3 linked regions of the Macaca mulatta genome follow. Each later gene encodes a partner of the first gene's protein in a complex. Links are inferred from orthologs where the notes say so. Each region holds a gene or a part of one and is shown in the gene's direction. Other genes may lie near its edges.

Region 1 (6,957 bases):
CTGGGGTGTAGGGTCCTTGGTAAGGCTTCTGAATAAAACTAATTCTTTAAAAGCTTAACTGTATTTCTTTAGTCAACAAGGTATTTGACATTCTTCTCCTACACTGTCATTGAAGTCTGTGTGTATTTTACAACAAAGCCCTAGAGCACCGCCTGGCAAACAGTGTGAGGCATTGAACCATCCTTTGTAGAGTGAAGAAGGTATCAGAACTTACAATACTTAGTATTTTGGTTACGTGACACCAGCAACCTTACAAGGAATGTTTCTCGGGTCAATTATCTGTCATGGATAAATTCTGGTGCCAGAATGAGATTTGCTCTTGGAGAAGGCTGCATTTACTTGTTCACCCTTGAAATACTGCAATCCACCAATTTCTTGATAAAAGGGTGCTCTGGTTTTTTGTTTTTGAGATGCAGTCTCCATCACCCAGGCTGGAGTGCAGTGGCACAATCTCAGCTCACTGCAACCTCCACCTCCGGAGTTCAGGAGATTCTCCTGCCTTGGCCTCCAGAGTAGCTGGGACTACAAGCATCCGCCACCACGGGCAGTCAAGTTTTGTATTTTTTTTTAGTAGAGATGGGGTTTCACCATTTTGGCCAGGCTGGTCTCGAACTCCTAGACTCGTGATCCACCTGCCTCTGTCTCCCAAAGTGCTGGGATTACCGGTGTGAGCCACTGGGCCTGGCCAGGATGCTCTGGTTTTAACTAAAATTAACCTTCATAAAAGGAGAGCTTTCAAGCACTCCTGGAAAGAAGCCGTGGATTAAAGATGTGCCCAGCCATGTAAGCCAGATTTGTGATCATAAGCACAGGGCCGGACTCACGCCTGTAATCCCAGCACTTTAGGAGGCCGAGGTGGGCAGATCATGAGGTCAGGAGTTCAAGACCAGCCTGACCAACATGAGGAAACTCCATCTCTACTAAAAATACAAAAATTAGCTGGGTGTAGTGGCGCGAGGCTGAGGCAGGAGAACGGCATGAACCTGGGGGGCGGAGCTTGCAGTGAGCCTAGGTCACGACACTGCACTCTAGCCTGGGTGACAGAGCAAGACTCCGTCCAAAAAAAAAATGACACAGCTGGTGCTCGTGGAAATTTTTACTTTTCCCACAGTTAAAAACATGATTCTCAACAGCGTGAACTGCCCTTCAAAGATGATGGAGCTGCTTCAAAGTGCATTAGAGGAGCTGGGTATGTAGAAGCACTTCAAGTGTCAGATAAGAAAGTGGTTAGGACTGTGCGTAGCAGCGGCACCTGTGGTCCCAGGTACTCTGGAGGCTGAGGCGGGAGGATCGCCTGGGCTTGGGAGGTGGAGGCTGCAGTGAACGGAGATCGTGCCATAGCACTCCAACCTGGGCGACAGAGCCAGGCTCTGTCTCAAAACAAATGAACTAAAAGCAGGTTAAGATGCGCAACTGATTACCGTTCTGCTGGGCAATTACATGATCCCGTCTGGGTTATCTTTGCTGCAGGACACGCATTATTAACACCGTCTAGACAGGAGGCTTTCATTAAGAGTAAATTGCAGGCTCTGCGTGTATTTTACTTTATAACAGCTGCTTGCCGGGCACAGTGGCTCATGTCTGTAATCCCAGCACCTTGGGAGGCCAGGGCGGGCGGATCACCTGAGGCTCAGGAGTTCAAGACCAGCTTGGACAACCCTAACCCCCACCCTTCCCCCAACACCGTCTCTACAAAAAATTTAAAAAAATTAGTCGGACATGATGGCGCGCGCCTGAGGTCCCAGCTACTCCAGAGGCGGAGGCTACAGTGAGCCCTGATCCCACCGCCGCACTCCAGCCTGGGCGACAAAGAGAGACCCTGTCTCCAACTGACCAGGCAAACGGCGAAAACACACACAGGCGCGTCCCCAAAGAAAGACACCGGCATTAGAGGCCCTGGCCCTCCCCAGCGCAGACCCGCCCGAGCCCAGCGCCGCGCCGGCGCCCACCACCGGGGGCCGTGAGGGTTTCCACCCGAATCTCCCCGGCGAGCTGGGCGCCCCCACTACGGGTCCGCGACGCAGTCCACCCAATGCGGGCCCGAGAGAGGACCCGTGTTCGTCCTCTTCATTCGAGGCAGGGCTGTGTGGCGACGCCACCCGGACTGGAGGCCCCTGGCGGCCCCCAGCCTGTTGTCAGGGGATTCAGGGCCGCACGCCGCTCAAAGAGCCTTCGCGTCCCAAACTCCCGCAACCGCCACAAAACGCCACCAACTCTGGAAATCCACCCGCTTCCGTACCTTTTATAAGGAACCGGGTGCCCCGCCCTCAACGAGATCCCGCGAGAACTGCATATGGCGCGAGAGCAGAAACACCTTACTTTTTCCTGCGGCAAACGCCCAGTTCCCTTTCAAGTGACGAAGAGTGCCCCGCCCCAGAGGCGGGGTCGCCTCGCGCGCACGTACGCACGCACATACGCACGTACGCACGTCTTACGCTTTCTCACGCTAAGGCGTCAGTTCTCGGCCCCGGCAGCGAGAGGAGTCGGGAGGTGGTTTACGCTGTGGCGCGCGCTGTGCTCTTCCGCGGACTCTAAATCATGGCGACCACGGCCACGATGGCGACCTCGGGCTCGGCGCGAAAGCGTCTGCTCAAAGAGGAAGACATGACCAAAGTGGAATTCGAGACCAGCGAGGAGGTGGATGTGACCCCCACGTTCGACACCATGGGCCTGCGGGAGGACCTACTGCGGGGCATCTACGCTTACGGTGAGTGGGCGCGGGCCGCGGGGGCCAGCTGGCGGCGAGCCGGGGGCTGAGAGCCCGACTGGTGACTCCCGGGCCGGCCCTGCACTCCGGAGGTCGTGGTCAGGGTCGAGGCTCGGGGGCCAGTGACGTGCGACCCCCACCCCCACCCCTGCCCTCACGCCTGGCTGTGTCGGCGCGTTCGCTGTGTGTCCCCTGTGCAGAGCTCGGCGCTGGGTCCGTCGGGGGCTACAGCCGCTTCGAGGCACCTCGGAGTCGTTCATTCAGCAGATAACTGTTTTGTACCTACTAACTTTTCTAGTTACTGGGGTTTTGGCGGTAAACCAGATGGGTTTGCGCCTTTACGGGTTTTGAATTTCCTTTGAGGGGACAGCATGCGGTCAGATTGCCCAGGCAGTGGTTGTTGCTGGGAAGAACCCGAAGCTAGGTAATTGAATAGAGTGGGCCTGGGAAGGAGGAGATAATTAGTAAAGCAGAGAGGTAAGGGGGTTCGCAGGAGGGGGTGCCATTTGAGCAGAGGTATGGATGAAGGAGACTTTTAGGAGAGGAGGGAAGAGCAGTTGGGGCAGAAGGAACAGCTGGTGCCAGGGCTTTGCAGCCCTTAGCCAGCTGCATTCCAGGAACTGAAAGAAGTCCCCTGTGGTGGGATTTTGGAGAGCTAGTCAGGGGCCAGATTTAGCAAAGACGTGTAGGGGTGACGAATAATTTGAATTTCATTTGGAAATCTAGTGGGAAGCCACTGGAATGTAGTAAGTAGCTATGTGACACGATCACATTTACAGCTTTAAAGAGTCTTCTGGGTGTCTGTGAATTTCAGGTGAGGCGAGGCAGGGCAGGAGAGGAAACAAGAGTTGGGAAGCTTTTGCTCCAGTTCAGGGAAGAGAGGATTGTGCTGCCTTGGAGATGGAGTGCCAGGGAACTGACAGCATTGGCTGATGGATTGACTGTGAGCGACAGAAGGAGGAGGGTTAGTGTTTTCAGTAACCAGTGGTTGATGCTGCAAACATTTGGCTAGGTAGGCAGCACTCCAGAGAGTCAGAATCAGGAGTTGTCTCTTGGTATGTTTGAAAGATCTGTGGAAGTTGAGAGAGAGCCTGGAGAAGAGGTTGGGTTGGGCACATAGATGGGAATGGCCAGCATCTGGGGTAAATGGCCTGTGTTTAATGCTTGGGACAGGGACATTTTTTATCCTGTAGTTCTCTTTTCTTTCTTTCTGACAGTCCTGCTCTGTCACCAAGGCTGGACTGTAGTGGCATGATCTCGGCTCACTGCAACTTCTGCCTCTGGGGCTCAAGCGATTCCTTTGCCTCAGCCTCCCAAGTAGCCGACCACCATGCCCTACTAGTTTTTGTATTTTTAGTAGGGATGGGATTTTGCCATCTTGCCCAGGCTGGTCTTGAACTCCTGACCTCAGTGGTCTGCCAGCCTCAGCCTCCCAAAGTGATGGGGTTACAGGTGTGAGCCACCCCACCTGGTCTTATCCTGTAATTCTTGATGCCACAACAGTTTGGACAAAGTGAGGCGAAGGTGCTGAGGATGGGTGGTGAGAAAGCATCTCAGCCAGCCTTCCAGCGAGGCTGACAGCCCCACCTGGTTTCCTGGCACTCAGGCAGTCCCTGCCCTAAGACACTGTTGTTAGTTTCCCATCCATGTGCTTGCTCTTCATGAAGAGTTTAAATCATCTGCTATATTTGCTTTTGTGTTAAGATGGGAAATTGTGCTACATTTTCTTTTGTTTCTCATTTTTCACTATGCCCCAGAACTGAACAGAGCTACATTTAAGAGACTACCAAAAAATAACTGAACTAGAGTTTTGTACATAAAGTTTTATTTACTTACTTGAAAAACACATGGTTCTTCTTCAAAATAGCCTCCCCCTTTGGTGTAGTAGTTGCTTCGCAGGAGAGATGGTATGGTAGTTAGGGAGCTGCATCCAGACAGGAGAACAGCGTAGGACACCCCACAGTGTGACCCAAGCAGGTTAAATAGAGTTGTAGACCTGTCAGCAACACACAGACTTAATGCTAGCTAGGAGGAGAGAAGAATGGCTACAGTGACTTTCCTGGTTTTTTTTGTTTTTGTTTTTAATTTAAAAAGTAGTATAGGTTGTTTGTAATCCAGTCAAACCTAAGGAAGTAATTAGAGTAAAAAGTTAGCTGCTTTTCACCCCTCTACTGCAGTAACTGCCAGGAACATTTTGGCACTTCCAGATGCTGCACACCCAGAAGATTATCATTATTATTTTTCTGTATTCTACAATTTGGTGGTTTTTTTAAAATAGAGATTTGTCTTTACAAATAATATCTCATGTTAGTTTAGAAATCCACTTAGTCCGATTCATTGAGCCCCTGGGTTTTGAGAGCTTGCTATGTTGAACACTGGGTTAGGCGGGAGGACAGGTTCAAACAGCAAACCACGTCTGCCCCTGAGGAGCTCACAGTACAGGGTTTCTGTGCTGTCATTGTAGCGAGAGCTATTTTTTTGTTTTTATTTGCAGGTTTTGAAAAACCATCAGCAATCCAGCAACGAGCAATCAAGCAGATCATCAAAGGGAGAGATGTCATCGCGCAGTAAGTTGTCCTGGGGTGCGGCGCGGGGCTGGATGCAAATTTGGGCAGCGCAGTGCAGTTAGATGCTCTGGGATGACTGGTTCCCTCAGCTTCTACACACTCAGTACCAACACGTGCCCTGACTTTAGCCACAGGGTTTAATAATTTTTAAATTTCTGTTCTCTACTATAGAAAGCTTTCATTTTCTTTTTGAGATGGAGTCTCGCTCTGTCGCCCAGGCTGGAGCGCAGTGGCACCATCTCGGCTCACTGCAACCTTTGCCTCTCTGTTTCAAGCGATTCTCCTGCCTCACCCTCCCAAGTAGCTGGGATTACAGGCGCCCGCCACCATGCCTGGCTACTTTTCGTATTTTTAGTAGAGATGGGGTTTCACCATGTTGGTCAGGCCAGTCTCAAACTCCCGACCTCAGGTGATCCACCCTCCTTGGCCTCCTAAAGTGCTGGGATAACAGGCGTGAGTTACTGTGCCCGGCCAAGGCTTTCATTTTCTTAGCCAGCTTTGCTTGGTGGTTTGCTGGCAGGTGGAGTTGTATATAACACAATTTCGGAAAAACAGACTGCTTTTCCTCTGCTCTCACACCACCACCACAGTCATCAGCACAGAAGATGACTTGTGTGGGGGTTTTCCAGCTGGGTGTCCTCCAGTTCAGCTCATACCATCTGCCTGGAGACAGGCCATATCCCACAGGTTGAGGGCTCAGTCCCCTCAACCACCCTCTTTTCAGGCATCAATTATAAGTTTGGATGTCTAGAACTTCTGACCAAGCAGCTTCGAGTTGGCGTTCCCATGATCCCCTCTTTAGGTTGGATTAATTTGCTGGAACAGCAGCTCAGAGAACTCAGGGAAACACATTTAGTGGTTTATTATAAAGGGTGCTGCAAAGGATACAGATATGGGGGCGGGGGTGCAGCCTCCCAGAACCTCCTTGTGTTCCACTGTCTGTGTTCAGCCATCCAGAAGCTCTTCGAACTTGGTCCTCTTGGGTTTCTATGGAAAATTCCATGAGGTCAGCATTCTTTCCCCCGCCCAGGGAATAGGGCAGGAGCTTTTCTAGGATAATACCATAATGCTTTTTAAAAAAATTTTTTTTAATTTAAATTTTTTACTTTTTTTGAGACAGGGTCTTACTCTGTCTCCCAGGCTGGAGTGCAGTTGTGTGATTACAGCTCACAGCAGCCTCAACCTCCCAGACTCAAGTGATTCTCCTACCTCGGCCTCCCAGGTAGCTGGGACTAGAGGCACACATCATCATTTACGTTTTTTATTTTCTGTAGAGACAGGGTTTCCTTGTGTTGCCCAGGCTGCTCTCAAACTCCTGGCAGTCTCCCTGCCTTGGCTTCCCAAAGCCTTGGGATTACAGGCGTGAGCCACTGTGCCCGGCCTAAACATTTTTTGTGTTAAGATATGGGGCCTCACTTTGTCACCGGGGGGAATGCAGTGGTGCGGTCATAGCTCACTGCAGCCTCTAACTCCAAGGATTAAGGAATCGTCCCACCTCAACCTCCCAAGTAGCTGGGACTGCCTGAATGTGCTGCCATCCTGGTTGGTTTTTTGTTTTGTTTAGAAATGGGGTCTCTTCCTGTATGGCCCAGGCTGGTCTCGAATTCCTGGCTTCAGTCAGTCCTGCCTCTGCGTCCCAGAGTGTTGGGAATACAGGCCTGAGCCACCATGCCGTGAAATGAG
Region 2 (7,044 bases), on another chromosome or scaffold:
CATTAGGGAATCTAATATTGAATGAGGCTTTCCATATAATTCAACAAAATGGATTACAGCTGATATTTCCAGAGATACTATGGAATACAGTGCTCAAATTTCTGTGAATTATTCTCGTGATAAGTGTGGTGACCAACCCATCTCAGTTTTCCTAGGTGTTTCCAGGTATGGAAAGTCCCATGTCCCAGTAAACTCCACAGTCCTGGTCAAACTGGAATGGCTAGTCACCCTAGTGATAAAACATGGTGCTTGCTGTTTCTTACGTACTTTCCAAAACGGTGGCCTATTGTAGGGATTGATTCATTTTTCTATACTAATAGTTATATAAGTACTAACATGGATTCAAGGAAAAGTGGCTCAATTTGCCTTTTTAGTCATTCTACTTAAACCTTATGCTCTAGCTATACCGAATTTCGTGGTGTTCCCAAAATATGCATTTCACCCACTGTCTTTGCTCAGGTCATTTTCTGCCTGGAATGCTTTTTCATCCCACTGAACATAAACAGAACTTACTTCTCAAGGTCCAATTCAAATACTTCCGTTGATAGTCCTTCTCCAATACTCTTTTTACAAATTTACCTACTCTGCAATAGAATGCTCTTGATTCCTCTGCTGTACTACCAGCATGTTTTACACACACAAACACACACATTTATATATAAAATATATATTTATATATAAATGTGTGTGTGTATGTGTGTGTGTGTGTGTGTATATATATATATATATATGTATATATATATATAGACGAAGTTTTGCTTTCCTCACCCAGGCTGGAGTGCAATGGCGCGATCTCCGCCTCCCGGGTTCAAGCGATTCTCCTGCCTCAGCCTCATGAGTAGCTGGGAATACAGGCGCGTGCCACCAGACCGGCTAATTTTTGTATTTTTAGTAAAGACAGGGTTTTGCTATGTTGGCTAGGCTGGTCTTGAACTCCTGACCTCGGGTGATTTGCCCCCTTTGGCCTCCCAAAGTGCTGGGATTACAGGCATGAGCCACTGTGCCCGGCCACGTATCATCTTCTTCCTCCTCCCCTTCCCCCTCCCTCCTCCTCCTTTTTCTTTTCCTTTTCCTTTCCTTTTTTTTTTTTTTTTTTTTTTTTTTTTGAGACGAAGTTTCGCTCTTGTTGCCCAGGCTGGAGTGCGGTGGGATCATCTCAGCTCACTGCAACCTCTGCCTCCCAGGTTCAAGCGATTCTCCTGCCTCAGCCTCCCGTGCAACTGGGACTACAGGCACACGCCACCACGCCCAGCTAAGTTTTTGGTATTTATAGTAGAGACGGGGTTTCACCATGTTGGCCAGAATGGCACATATATTCTTAATTATAGCAATTGCTCCATTGTGCCGATATTTGCCTTACAAGTTTGCTTTCTTTTCTAGACTACCAGTGCAAATGCCTTTTTATTTCTAGTTTCAAACTGTCACATAGGAAATGTTTGTTAAAACTAACGTTTTATAAAATTTAAAGCTTATTTTACATATCTCATTTGATCTCTCAAGAATTCTGTGAGCTTGGCAATGTAGATTGCTGTATATGCCTTAGGCTGATGAATAAACAGGCTTAGAGAGTCACTTGCCCGAGGTTAGGTAGCTGTAAGTGTTGGGATTGAATCCCAGGTCTTCTCACCACCACTTTCTACAAAAATCACTGAAGGTTGTCAACCAGCAGAGAGGATTACTCTCTGTGTTGATAACAAAAGGGTGATCAATAATATTTAAAAAGCAGACTTTGTGTAAAAGTCTTTCCCTTACCTTAAAAACTATGCCACAATGGAGCATTCTTTCATTCCTCCAATTTAATTATATCTGGCGAGAAACAGTAATGGGCTAAACCATTGTTGTATCTTAAGTCAAATTGCCAAAACTCCACAGGCTACTAAAAGTTAACCCTTACTGAATGAATTAAGAACCATAGAAGTTCTGCTGTTAAAAAACAGCACGGTGACAGTCAGGGTTTTTCAGGCGTAGGGGGTGTGTGTTTTAAGACTTTAAGCCAGTTTTGTCCCACTGAAATCACCGTCAGTGATTTTTAGTAGAAAGTGGTGGTGAGAAGACCTGGGATTCAATCCCAACACTTACAGCTACCTAACCTCGGGCTAGTGACTATCTCTAAGCCTGTTTGTTCTTCAGCCTAAGGCATATACAGCAATCTACATTGCCAAGCTCACAGAATTCTTGAGAGATCAAATGAGATCTCTTAAGTTCTTTGCTGTGATGGATTCCTTTGACTTTGTCTCTATTATTATAGGCTTATAGGTCCGGGGCAACTACCAATCGTTATTCAAAGGGGAAAGCACCCTGTTAGAAATCAAGTAAGAAAAATGGTTTATATTCCCGGTCTGCCATCTCTATTCTAAGCTTTATCTTTATTTAGCTCCCAGTTAAAGGGGGAATAGAGCCACACCCACCTCACAAACGCCCCGAGGACTGGGAGACCAGAAAAGTAAAAGCCACTTGCAAACCTAATTTAGCTCTAAGTCGATAAAAAATACTATCATATGCTCACATTTCTAATATTTGCTAATATAATGTAATCTTTATTTTGAAAATAATGTGCCTCCAATCCTAGTAAAGAGAAAGTCACGGCATGCGACTCTCCCTTCAGCACCAACTGGCCTCTCACGCGAGACTCGGCTTTCATGCTTTAGTCCAGGACTGCACGGCAGGCGGAAGAGAAGCGCCTGTGGTGACGCACTTATTCCGCGCGATGACGTGACTACAAGGCGCCGGGGGACACGTTGGCTGGGTTTTCGGCGGGCTTCTCGGGGACAAAAATGGCTATGGCTAGCGATTTCTACCTGCGCTACTACGTAGGGCACAAGGGCAAGTTTGGGCACGAGTTTCTGGAGTTCGAATTTCGGCCGGACGGTGAGAAGAGGCCCACGGCACGCGGTGCTGGGAAAGGGGAGCGAGACCGAGAGGCCGTGGAGGAGGCGAGGGGAGGCCGGGTGGTGTGGAGGGTACAGGGGGCGGAGGCCACTGCTTCCCTCGAAGGAAATAGGAGCTTAAGAATAGAGGAGGCCTAAGTTGGTTTTATAAATGAAAGAGAACTAATTGCAATAAATTAAAGCTAATCCTGTCGCAAACTGAAAAGTCGAACTTACAGTAATCAGAATTCTGTAACTGCACCAGAAGGGACTCTGTAGATTGTTGACCTGGATTAAAAATGCTAGCACTTTTTTGAAAACACCCCCATCAGCGGGTGGTCCAATGGATGAATAAAATCTTGTGGTGACCAGTACCTTTTCTTCATTCAGGCTGTGTGTGTTCTTTGAAGGGGAGGAGCCCGACGTGTTAACAAATGAGAATAATAATATGTTTTAGGTGTCTACGTATAATTGTTCACCACAGGACGCATGAAGAGTACCAAAAAAGAGGGGAGATGTAAAGTTCCACAGGAGGGAGTCAGGAAAATCTTCCTAGAGGAAGACACTCTTGAGATGAGTCTCGAAATGAGAGACTTGGCCTTTGAGAGAAAAAAACAGACTTCCAGAGCAGTGAGAGCAGAGGACGAGGTGAAACTGCTACCCCAGTAGCGTGCAACAATTTGTTTTCTGACAGCGCTATTAGAGAATGTTACATTGGTCCTGCCTACCTGCAACAAGAAAGTTCATTTGGATATATATGTTTTGGTTTTTTTTAAATGCACGTTTTTTGCTGGGCAACAAGCAAATACAAAATTTGAAGGTACACTAATGAGTAAGACAAATTTAACTCAAAGAGATTTGTCTTGGTGGGGACACAGACATTTAACTATAAAGCAGTAGGTATATTAATAAGCAGGCTTTGGACAATGTTCTGTGAGAGCAAGAATAAAAAATTAGAGGAGAAACGTATATTAGGAAAGGAGAAGAGTATCAAGCATTTCAGGCAGAACTCACGTGAACTACAGTCCTGCAATTATTACTTTGAAACAGAGTCTCACTCTGTCACTCAGATCTGAGTGCAGTGGCACGATCTCAGCTCACTGCAACCTCCGCCTCCCAAGCTCAAGTGATCCTTCACCTCAGCCTCCCGAGGTGCTGGAAATACAGGCCAGTGCCACCTCGCCCATCTCCTTTGTTGTTGTTGTTGTTGTTGTAGAGATGGGTTTCCGCATGTTGCCCAGGCTGTCCTCAAACCCCTAAGGTCAAGAGATTCACCAGCCTCAGCCGCCCGAAGTCCTGGGATTACACGCATGAGCCACCGTGCCAGCCCTGCAATTATTTAGAAACCTTAATCACTGTATTCGACCTTACTCTCCCCATAAATTCAGCTAAATTTACCTGAATTCATCTATTCTTTATGTAGTATTATTTTCAGTTCCTCTGCCTGTGAACACCGTCAAGCTTGTCTCTATTACTTTTAGCAGGTCACATAAATTAAGCACCTGAATATTATCAGGGAAGTTTTATGCTAGAACAGTGGTTCTAATCAATGTATCTGCCACTGCACTGTTACACATACTTCTTCTATTGGTAATATTGAGTCTCCCGAAGACCTGCCTGCCTGCCTGCCTGCCTGCCTTCCTTCCTTCCTTCCTTCCTTCCTTCCTTCCTTCCTTCCTTCCTTCCTTCCTTCCTTCCTTCCTCTTTCTTTCTCTTTCTTTCTTTCTTTCTTTTTCTTTCTTTCCTTCTTTCTTTCTTTCTTTCTTTCTTTCTTTCTTTCTTTCTTTCTTTCTTTCTTTCTCTTTCTTTTTCTTTTTCTTTTCTTTTTTTCTTTCTTTTCTTTCTTTCTTTTTTTTGAGACAGAGTGTTGCTCTGTCACCCAGGCTGCAGTGCAGTGGTGCGATCTCAGCTCACTGCAACCTCTGCCTCCTGGATTGAAGCGGTTCTCCTGCCTCAGCCTCCCGAGAAGCTGGGATTGGAGGCATGTGCCACCATGCCCGGCTACTTTTTCGTATTTTTAGTAGAGATGGGGTTTCTCCATGTTGGCCAGACTGGTCTCGAACTGCTAACCTCAGGTAGTCCACCTGTCTCGGCCTCCCGAAGTGCTGGGATTACAGGCGTGAGCCACTACGCCTGGTGCCAAGCCATCAAAGACTGGCATTTCTATCATTTTAGAGTAACTGCTGCACATTATAGCTGTGTCTGGGCAACTGACTAGCCATAAGGGGAAGCATACATCAGATAATACACAAATCATGATGGATTAAAATTAAATATAAACTAGCTAACAAACTCATCAACTTCGATCCAGAAGCATCGTTTGTATCCTTCTTAGTCATAATTCTAAAATGTCTACAATATAATTGTATGCATACATTTGAAGGAAAAAAAGGAACATTTTTTTGTAGTGGAGAAAGCCTGAGTATTAAAAGAAAGTAGATCTAGGTCTGAATCTCCCATGTTTAAGTTACTTAACTTTGTTTTCTCTCTTATGAATAGGTGAGAGAATAAAACCTGATTTTTAGGATTGTTTTACAGATTAGATTAAATTCTCTGTGTAATGCACTTAACACCAATACATACATATAACAAACTTGAATGTTAGTGCAGATTCTCTTTCTAGTTCATGATGTAGCTTAAGAAAATAGGCCGTAAAAATGACCCTATATCTATATGTTGTAGGCATAGACTATTTAAATATTTGGCTATCTTCAACTTCAGCAAACTTAACCAGCAAATATTTATTGTCTACATGTCTAACAATGATTTTACACAAGGAGGGAGGAAATAATAAAAGTAGTATAAAATGGTCTTTACCTTTAAAATTGTATATGATGTCATTAATTTTTTTTAGCAGTTTTTGCTATTGTAAATTGATTTTTTTCCATTTCCCACAGGAAAGCTTAGATATGCCAACAACAGCAATTACAAAAATGATGTCATGATCAGAAAAGAGGTAAGTTCTATTCGAATGTCTTTTTTTTTTTTTTGCATTTAGCCCATTTTCTTCAAGTCTATGTTGAATTTACAAAAGTACATCTAAGGCTATATTGTAAAGAAGAAGGCAATTTACAGATTGAAAGAGTTGCCATTTAAATTAGATACAATGGTTGCATCCATAGGAATGAGAAGGTTCAGAGAACTAACCTTGTTGTGAACTACACTTGCATTTATTTATTTATTTTTATTTTTATTTTTATTTTTTGAGACAGAGTCTCGCTCTGTTGCCCAAGCTGCAGTGCAGTGGCGTGATCTCAGCTCACTGCATCCTCTGCCTCCCAGGCTCAAGCAATTCTCCTGCTTCAGTGTACTTGCATTTATTACTGTTCACCTTATAGATCTTGTGATCTAACCACTTGGGGGTATTTGGATCTTAATGTTACAAAGGCAGAATACAGTGTTTCAAAGACGGGTAATGATGAGAAGAGGGAAAAATAAATGTGAGAGGAAAGGGCAAGAGATGAAGAAAAGTAATATAACAAGGATAAATGATTCTCTCTCATTCTCTACTTTTGGAATCAATTAAATTTTTCTATATTCCTCTATTTGAATATTCAGAGTTTGTAACTCTTATTTCTTTCTGAGTTGAGGGGTGACATAGGTGGACATTATCCAATTTTATTATGATTAATTTTTAGGCTTATGTGCACAAGAGTGTAATGGAAGAACTGAAGAGAATTATTGATGACAGTGAAATTACAAAAGAAGATGATGCTTTGTGGCCTCCCCCTGATAGGGTTGGCCGACAGGTTTGTATTTAGTGATTCTTTAAGTGCATAAATATTAAAAATTGATAATACTATTATGATTCCCCTTATTTATTTTGAATGAGTCTAAGTTGATTCTTTGGCTTTCCATTTAATAGACACCTGGTAAATTCTCTTTAATTTTGTCTTTTAGTTCCGTTTTTCTGTGCTACCTCCTAGTAGTGAAGGAGTCAGTGCATAGCTCTAAATTTAGATATCTTTCTCTGTAGTCACCCTAGCCAACATTAGGATGCTTTCACAGTGCAGTGTTATGAATAATTTCTGTTGTGTGTTAATCACTTTTATTAAGAATATGACTATGTAAAATTTACTTTTGCCAAATCATAACTTTTAAAATTCTTATTTGCATCCCTATACCCCAGAGAGAGACTTGATTGGTGGTTTCTTTGTTAAAACTTATGATTGCATTT
Region 3 (6,785 bases), on another chromosome or scaffold:
TCTTGCCCAACATTGTATCCTCTCTCTCTGCACATGACACTCAGTGGATGCTCAATAAATGATGCTGAATGCAGGCACGGCAGACACACACAGACCATGCTCTTTCAGTTACACCACGTCTCATATCCAGAAACCTGGATTACTTTACAGCCTGACTGGAGTTGTGTGTCCTTTAAATTTCTCAACACTTTTGTTATTTGCCACATCTGAAGATCCCCAGATTCACTTATGATTTTTATAATTTTACTCCTGGAAAATAACCTTGTAGCAATTGCTTAATCCCTCTACACACTTAACTCTAATTACCACCTCAAAATTGTTGTGATGATTCGAAAAACAAGCACAGGTAATCCCATTCAGCCTAGGAGCTGACATTTATTAGGTGCTTGATGGTTCCCTTTTCTCTTTTTTTTTTTTTTTTTTTTTTTTTTTTTTTTTTTTAGATAGGGTCTTGCTTCGTCACCCAGGCTGGAGTGTAGTGGTATGATCATGGTTCGCTGCAGCCTTGACCTCCCAGGCTCAAATTATCCTCCTACCTCAGCCTCCCAAGTAGTTGGGACTACAGGTGTGCACCACCACACCTACCTAATTTTTAAATTTTTTGTAGAGACAAAGTCTCTCTATGTTACCCAAGCTGGTCTCAAACTTCTGGGCTCAAGTGATCCTTCTGCCTCAGCCTCCCAAACTGCTGGGATTACAAGTGTGAGCCACTGTGTCTAGCCCCCTTCTCTTTTATACAGTTCCCTTGTTACTACCAATATGCGGTGTTTTGTAATAAAAATGTCATGGTTTTATAGCAATTTACAGTTTCCGAGACATTGTTTCTTATAACAGTTCTGCTAGGTGTACGTTTTTATGCTCATTTTAAAGAGAAGGAAACTCTGAAGTCTAAAAAGTTGAGTCAGTTCACCTTTGGTTACAATGAGTCATTGTTAAAACAAAAGATTTTAACCAGTGTCCAATGGTTTTTTTCCCCCACCACACCTACTCTACACTCTGCTGCTAATGCTTTTTCAGGGAGAAAAGGACTCATTGTTAAGACTGGGGGCCATGCACGGTGGCTCATGCCTGTAATCCCAGCACTTTGGAAGGCTGAGGCGGATGGATCGCCTGAGGTCGGGAGTTTGAGACCAGCCTGGCCAACATGGTGAAACCCTGTCTCTACTAAAAATACAAAAATTAGCTGGATGTGGTGGCACGTGCCTGTAATCTCAGCTACTTGGGAGGCTAAGGCAGGAGAATCACTTGAACCCAGGAGGTGGAGGTTGCGGTGAACTGAGAACCAGCCGTTGCACTCTAGCCTGGGCAACAAGAGCAAAACTCTGTCTCAAAAAAAAAAAAAAAAAAAAAGACTGGGGGTAGGAATCAGAGACTGCTGTCCCGACTTACAGAATCTTATACTGTTCTAGTTGCCAGGCCCCAAGAATGATGTCATCTCAGCACTGTCTCTAGAACCATTCATTCTCTCTAAGTGTGGAACTTAGACGAGTGAGAGCAGGCTCCTATTAAATAATTATGATCTTGATTGCTCTGGCCCTACTCAACTGTAAATTTTTTCCAGAGCCAGAATGGCTTCACAGAGGACAACTTTGCTCTGAAAAGAGTCTCTTTGGTCAGTGGTCCTCAACTGAGAGCTTTACAAAGAGTACCAATGCCCAGTTCCAGCGCTGGAGATTTTAATTGGCTTGGGGTAGAGCCCTGGCATCAGTATTTTTAGAGGCTCCCCAGGTAATTCCAATGTGCAGCCAGGCTGAGAATCACTGCTCGGTAAGTGGGATGACTGGGGAGTGGGAGATCAAATACTCTAACTTCTCACAGCACCTATTCTAGAGATCAGTGGGGCAGAAAGATAGAAATAAAAGGTGGAAAAGGACGAAATGGGTAAGTGTGGGTGAACTAGTTCCAGGGAAACGGCAATCTCCACTGTGGATTCAGGGAAGGCGTCACTGAGGGCTTTCTTAACAGTTCAGGTCAATGGAAGCCATCTTGAGGCACACACATCGTGCGCGGCATCCTCCGGGAAGGTCGGGTCATTTCACCCCATTTTACTGCCGAGATGACCTAGGTCCAGAGACGGTAAAGAGCGGTGTACGACTCACACAAGTCGGGGGTCCTGTGAACTGAGGTTGAGCCTGGCGGGGGCAAGGCTCGGGGTGTTCGGTCCGAGATCTTTAAGCGAAGTCACCAGACCCCGCGTTCAAAGCCCAGAGGTAGGCAGGCGGCTGGCTCTCGGCCTCAGGCCGGGAGAGAACCCAGCGGGTACCAACCTCAACCTCGCTCCCGCGTCCAGGTGGAGAAGCGGAGCTGGTTGGCCCCGCCTCCGGGTTAAACAAAGTTCGTTACCTCCTAGGCGTGAGAGGGTGTGGCAGTCTTGTTGTCACTTCCGGGCGAATAGGTTAGCTAGAAGGAACCCCTCCATTACGCGACGGCGTAATCTGACGTCACTTCCGCGCGCCGCCGCAAACGTCAGTGTCGGGCGCAGACCGCAGCAGTGCGGCTTGCTGTTGGAAGTTCAGGCTCGGTTGTCTTTTGGGAGCCATGGAGAGTGACTTTTATCTGCGTTACTACGTGGGGCACAAGGGCAAATTCGGCCACGAGTTCCTGGAGTTTGAGTTCCGACCGGATGGTAAAAGCAGCCTGCCGCCCGCCGGGAGCGGGACCAGGCCTTGGGGCGGGCGAGTGGGGAGGCCGAGGGTCGGAAATCTGTGGGGAACTAGAGGAGGAAGGGGCTGAGACCTGTGCAGTGCGGATCTGAAAGGAGCGCCACTGTGTCTGCTCCACGGCGTCGTTTTATCCATACAACAAACGTTGGCTGAACGCCCACTGTGTGCCAGGCTCTGTTCCACTCTTTGGGGATACGACAGCGAAGATAGACAAACTTCCTCTCTCGTGGAACTTGTGTTTTACTGCTGGGAGAGAGATCATAAAAAGATGATTCCGGATAGCAGTGAGTGGTCAGAAAATATGGTAGAATCGCTGGATGGGCTGCTTTTAGATAGGTTGGCCATTAGAGAGCTCTAATGGTATATTGCAGCTGAGCCCTAATTAGCAAGAAGGACCCAGCCTTGTGAAGCTCACAAGGAAGACCATTCTACCCAAAGGGAATACCAGAAGTCAAGGCTGCAGGGCGGGAATGAGCTTAGGCATGTCTCAGGTGGTCAGTGTGATTGAAGAGTGGTGAGCTGGGAGATGGCAGGAGATGATGTCGGATAGGTAGTAGGAGCCGCACCTTGTAGATCTTTATAGACCATGGTAAAGAGTTTGGACTTGGAAGGCTTTTTTTATTTTATTTATTTTTTTTTTTGAGACGGGTTTCGCTCTTTTTGCCCAGGCTGTAATGCTATGGCGCGATTTCGGATCATTGCAACCTCCGCCTCCCGAGTTAAAGCGATTCTCCTGCCTCAGCCTCCCGAGTAGCTGGTATTACAGACACCCACCACCACGCCCGGCTAATTTTGTATTTTTAGTAGAGACAGGGTTTCACCAGGTTGGCCAGGCTGGTCTCGAACTTCTGACCTCGGGCGATCCGCCGGCCTCGGTGTCCCAAAGTGCTGCGATTACAGGCGTGAGCCACCGCGCCTGGCCGGGCTTGGAAGGTTTTAAGCAGAGAAGAAATGTGATCTGTTCTTGAAAAAGCATTCTGGTTATTGGGTGCGGAATGGGCAACAGTGAAAACAGGGCTATTGATTAGGAGACTGTTGTCAAGACAAGAAAGATGTTGGGGGCCAGTCGCAGTGGCTCACGCCTGTAATCCCAGGACTTTGGGAGGCTGAGGTGTGCGGATAACTTGAGGTTAGGAGTTCGAGACCAGCCTGGCCAACATGGTGAAACCCCGCCTCTACTAAAAATACAAAAATTAGCCGGACGTGGTGGCAGATGCCTGTAATCCCAGCTGTTCGGGAGGCTGAGACAGGATAATCGCTTGAACCTGGGGCGGAGGTTGCAGTGAGCTGAGATAGTGCCAGTGTACTCCAGTCTGGGTGACAGAGCGAGACTGTGTCACAAAAAAAAAAAAAAAAAAAAGATGTCGGTTGGGACTACAGAGATAGTAGAAATGGAGAGAAAGATTTAGGAAACTGTTGGAGGCAGAATCAACTGGACTTTGATCGTTGATAGGATTTTTTTGGCGGAGGCACTGTGGTGAAGGAAAGAGGAATCAAAGATGACAGAAAACATCCATTAAGCGGGCCACAAAGATGTATCTGACAGGCCCCGACTGTGAGGGAGATGGATTTGTAAGCAGGGACCAAACAGCGTATTAGGTGTTGTGGTAAAAAGAAACAGAGGAGACTTGCAGCAGAGAAGGGGCACCTAGCCAAGCCTGAGGGTCAGAGGAGGCTTCCTACATAAAATGATGGGAGGAGGGGATGTGAGGTATTGGTTAGGAGACCAAGAAGAGTCAAGAAGGCATTTTAGACAGCATGCAAAGAGGCTGAAAACCAAAAAGTGCTTGGGATGTTTCAGGCAGAAACCAAGTTGTTCGACTCCAGCTGTGTGAGAGAAGAATATTGCAGGAGTGAGGCTGGAAAAGCAGGCAGGGGCTTTGCTTAGCCGTATGCCATGTTGAGGAGTTTGGATTTTTTTTTTTTTTTTTTTTTTGAGATGGAGTCTTGCTCAGTTGCCCAGGCTGGAGTGCAGTGGCACGATCTGGGTTCACTACAAGCTCCGCCTCCCGGGTTCACGCTATTCTCCTGCCTCAGCCTCCTAGGTAGCTGGGACTACAGGCGCCCGCCACCACGCCTGGCTAATTTTTTACATTTTTAGTAGAGACGGGGTTTCACCGTGTTAGCCAGGATGGTCTCGATCTCCTGACCTCGTGATCTGCCCGCCTCGGCCTCCCAAAGTGCTGGGATTACAGGCGTGAGCCACCGCGCCCGGCCGGATTTTAACCAGGAAGGCAGCGGAAAGCCATTGACTTTATCAAAGTATTAGAGTAACCTAATCTGATAGATCTGTTACCACATCACCTTGTCCACTATATGGACAGTGAACTGAATGTGAAGAAACTTGAGGCAGAGAGACAGCACAGAGACCGTTGGAATAAATTCACTGGGCTCATCTCACATGTATGTCTTCTAGTCTACATGTCTTCTGTTTCCTTCTATCTTCTCCTCATCCCCACCATGTATTCACATTAACCTGTTAGACGCACACATGGACAAAGGGTCTTGTGTACCAAATGTGCTCAGTGATAAAAGCAACAACTTTTCCATCACAGAAATAGAGTGTGGCACAGTCACATGATAATATATGTAAACAGCATCCTACAGTTTTCAAAATGTTTTCACAACTCATTTGAGCCTCAGGAGGTCCTATGTGCTGGTAAGTTATCATTTACTCTGCCTGTTTTCAGGACATTCACCTGCAAAAATGTGATTCGACAAAGTCAGAAAAGAGCCTGCCTGTGTTTTTACCTCACCTGAGCTGCTTTTTGCAGTAGTTGAGTGTCAGCTGTATATTTGGCTGTTTAAGCCTGAAGTGAAGAACTGAAAGACTAGTATTGTTGAACTACCTTAAGAGTAAATAATAAATGTCTTAGACACTTTGAGCAAGTTGGATACATTTTAGGCAACTGCCGATAGTCTTGGTATGGTATTGATGCTTTATTCATGTTTTTATTATATGTTGAATTTGGCTTTTGTCCCCACAGGGAAGTTAAGATATGCCAACAACAGCAATTACAAGAATGATGTCATGATCAGAAAAGAGGTATGCCTTCTGAGAGGCCTTCATTTTCTACATTTCAGCTTTTTGTCTTGCATTGTTTTTGTTGTATCTAGTATTGAAAGGTAAAGAACAGGGAGAGAGACACATGTCTGTAGACAGCTTCTGGATTATTTCCCAAATCATCTTTTAGTTGGGATTTTTTTATTTTACAATGTGGAATCAATTACTGGTAACCATTGACATACCTTGGTTTGAACCCTGAGTCTGCTGCTTACTACCTCATGTGACAGTGGGCAAGTTCCTGGCTGAACTTGATTAAATCTCTGTTTCTTCACCTGCAAAAACAGGGAAAATAAAAGCTACCTCCCACTCCCAAGTGCTGTCATAAAATTAAATGTGTTATACTTAAAGTGCTCTATATATTCCCTGGCACATAGTACACAATGGAGAGCTATTTAATTTGCATCTGAGTGGGAAAGGGAGCATGGGAAAGCAGTTGATATCATTGAATGCATGTTAGATGTCAGGCATGGCATCTTATTTAACCCTGATTATAAGCCCATATGATGGGGGAGGGTATTATAGCCCCCTTACAAATAAGAAAATAAAGGCCCAGATATTAATTATGAGACTTGTTCAGAGTTACCCCTGCTAGTAAGAGATACAGCAGGAATTCCCAATTAAAGGAATTCCCCAGTAAAGTTTGTATTCTCCTCTCTGTGATTTCTACTACATCATTAAGGCTTCATCAAAGCTACTCTTTTAACCACTCTGCCACCTTTGAAAATGTCTTAGCATATATTTTTCATACTGTTGTTTTAGCTATCAGTTTCATGCTTATTCACACATGTCAACATTCTCACTATTTTTTTACACAGGCATATCTTTTCAAATACATTTTGCTCCTCAGGAGCGTATTACCTAGTTAAGAATAACTGGCCGGGCGCGGTGGCTCACGCCTGTAATCCCAGCACTTTGGGAGGCCAAGGTGGGCGGATCACGAGGTCAGGAGATGGAGACCATCCTGGCTAACACGGTGAAACCCCGTCTGTACTGAAAATACAAAAAAATATAGCCGTGGTGGTGGGTGCCTGTAGTCCCAGCTATTCAGGAGGCAG

What was found.
Region 2: EIF4A3 (region 1) and MAGOHB share a complex: the UniProt entries of both Homo sapiens proteins name them as parts of the mRNA splicing-dependent exon junction complex. The link is inferred for Macaca mulatta from reciprocal best matches to the Homo sapiens genes EIF4A3 and MAGOHB.
Region 3: EIF4A3 (region 1) and MAGOH share a complex: the UniProt entries of both Homo sapiens proteins name them as parts of the ALYREF/THOC4-EJC-RNA complex. The link is inferred for Macaca mulatta from reciprocal best matches to the Homo sapiens genes EIF4A3 and MAGOH.

The regions. Positions count from the first base shown.
Region 1 is NC_133421.1:89,832,385-89,839,341, reverse strand, and holds the start of EIF4A3 (eukaryotic initiation factor 4A-III), read left to right. Parts: upstream 1-2,495; 5' UTR 2,496-2,538; coding exon 2,539-2,707; intron 2,708-5,201; coding exon 5,202-5,274; intron 5,275-6,957. UniProt on the Homo sapiens protein: ATP-dependent RNA helicase. Involved in pre-mRNA splicing as component of the spliceosome. Core component of the splicing-dependent multiprotein exon junction complex (EJC) deposited at splice junctions on mRNAs.
Region 2 is NC_133416.1:9,992,674-9,999,717, forward strand, and holds the start of MAGOHB (protein mago nashi homolog 2), read left to right. Parts: upstream 1-2,724; 5' UTR 2,725-2,774; coding exon 2,775-2,868; intron 2,869-5,764; coding exon 5,765-5,823; intron 5,824-6,505; coding exon 6,506-6,616; intron 6,617-7,044. UniProt on the Homo sapiens protein: Required for pre-mRNA splicing as component of the spliceosome. Plays a redundant role with MAGOH in the exon junction complex and in the nonsense-mediated decay (NMD) pathway.
Region 3 is NC_133406.1:187,367,875-187,374,659, forward strand, and holds the start of MAGOH (protein mago nashi homolog), read left to right. Parts: upstream 1-2,465; 5' UTR 2,466-2,538; coding exon 2,539-2,626; intron 2,627-5,650; coding exon 5,651-5,709; intron 5,710-6,785. UniProt on the Homo sapiens protein: Required for pre-mRNA splicing as component of the spliceosome. Plays a redundant role with MAGOHB as core component of the exon junction complex (EJC) and in the nonsense-mediated decay (NMD) pathway.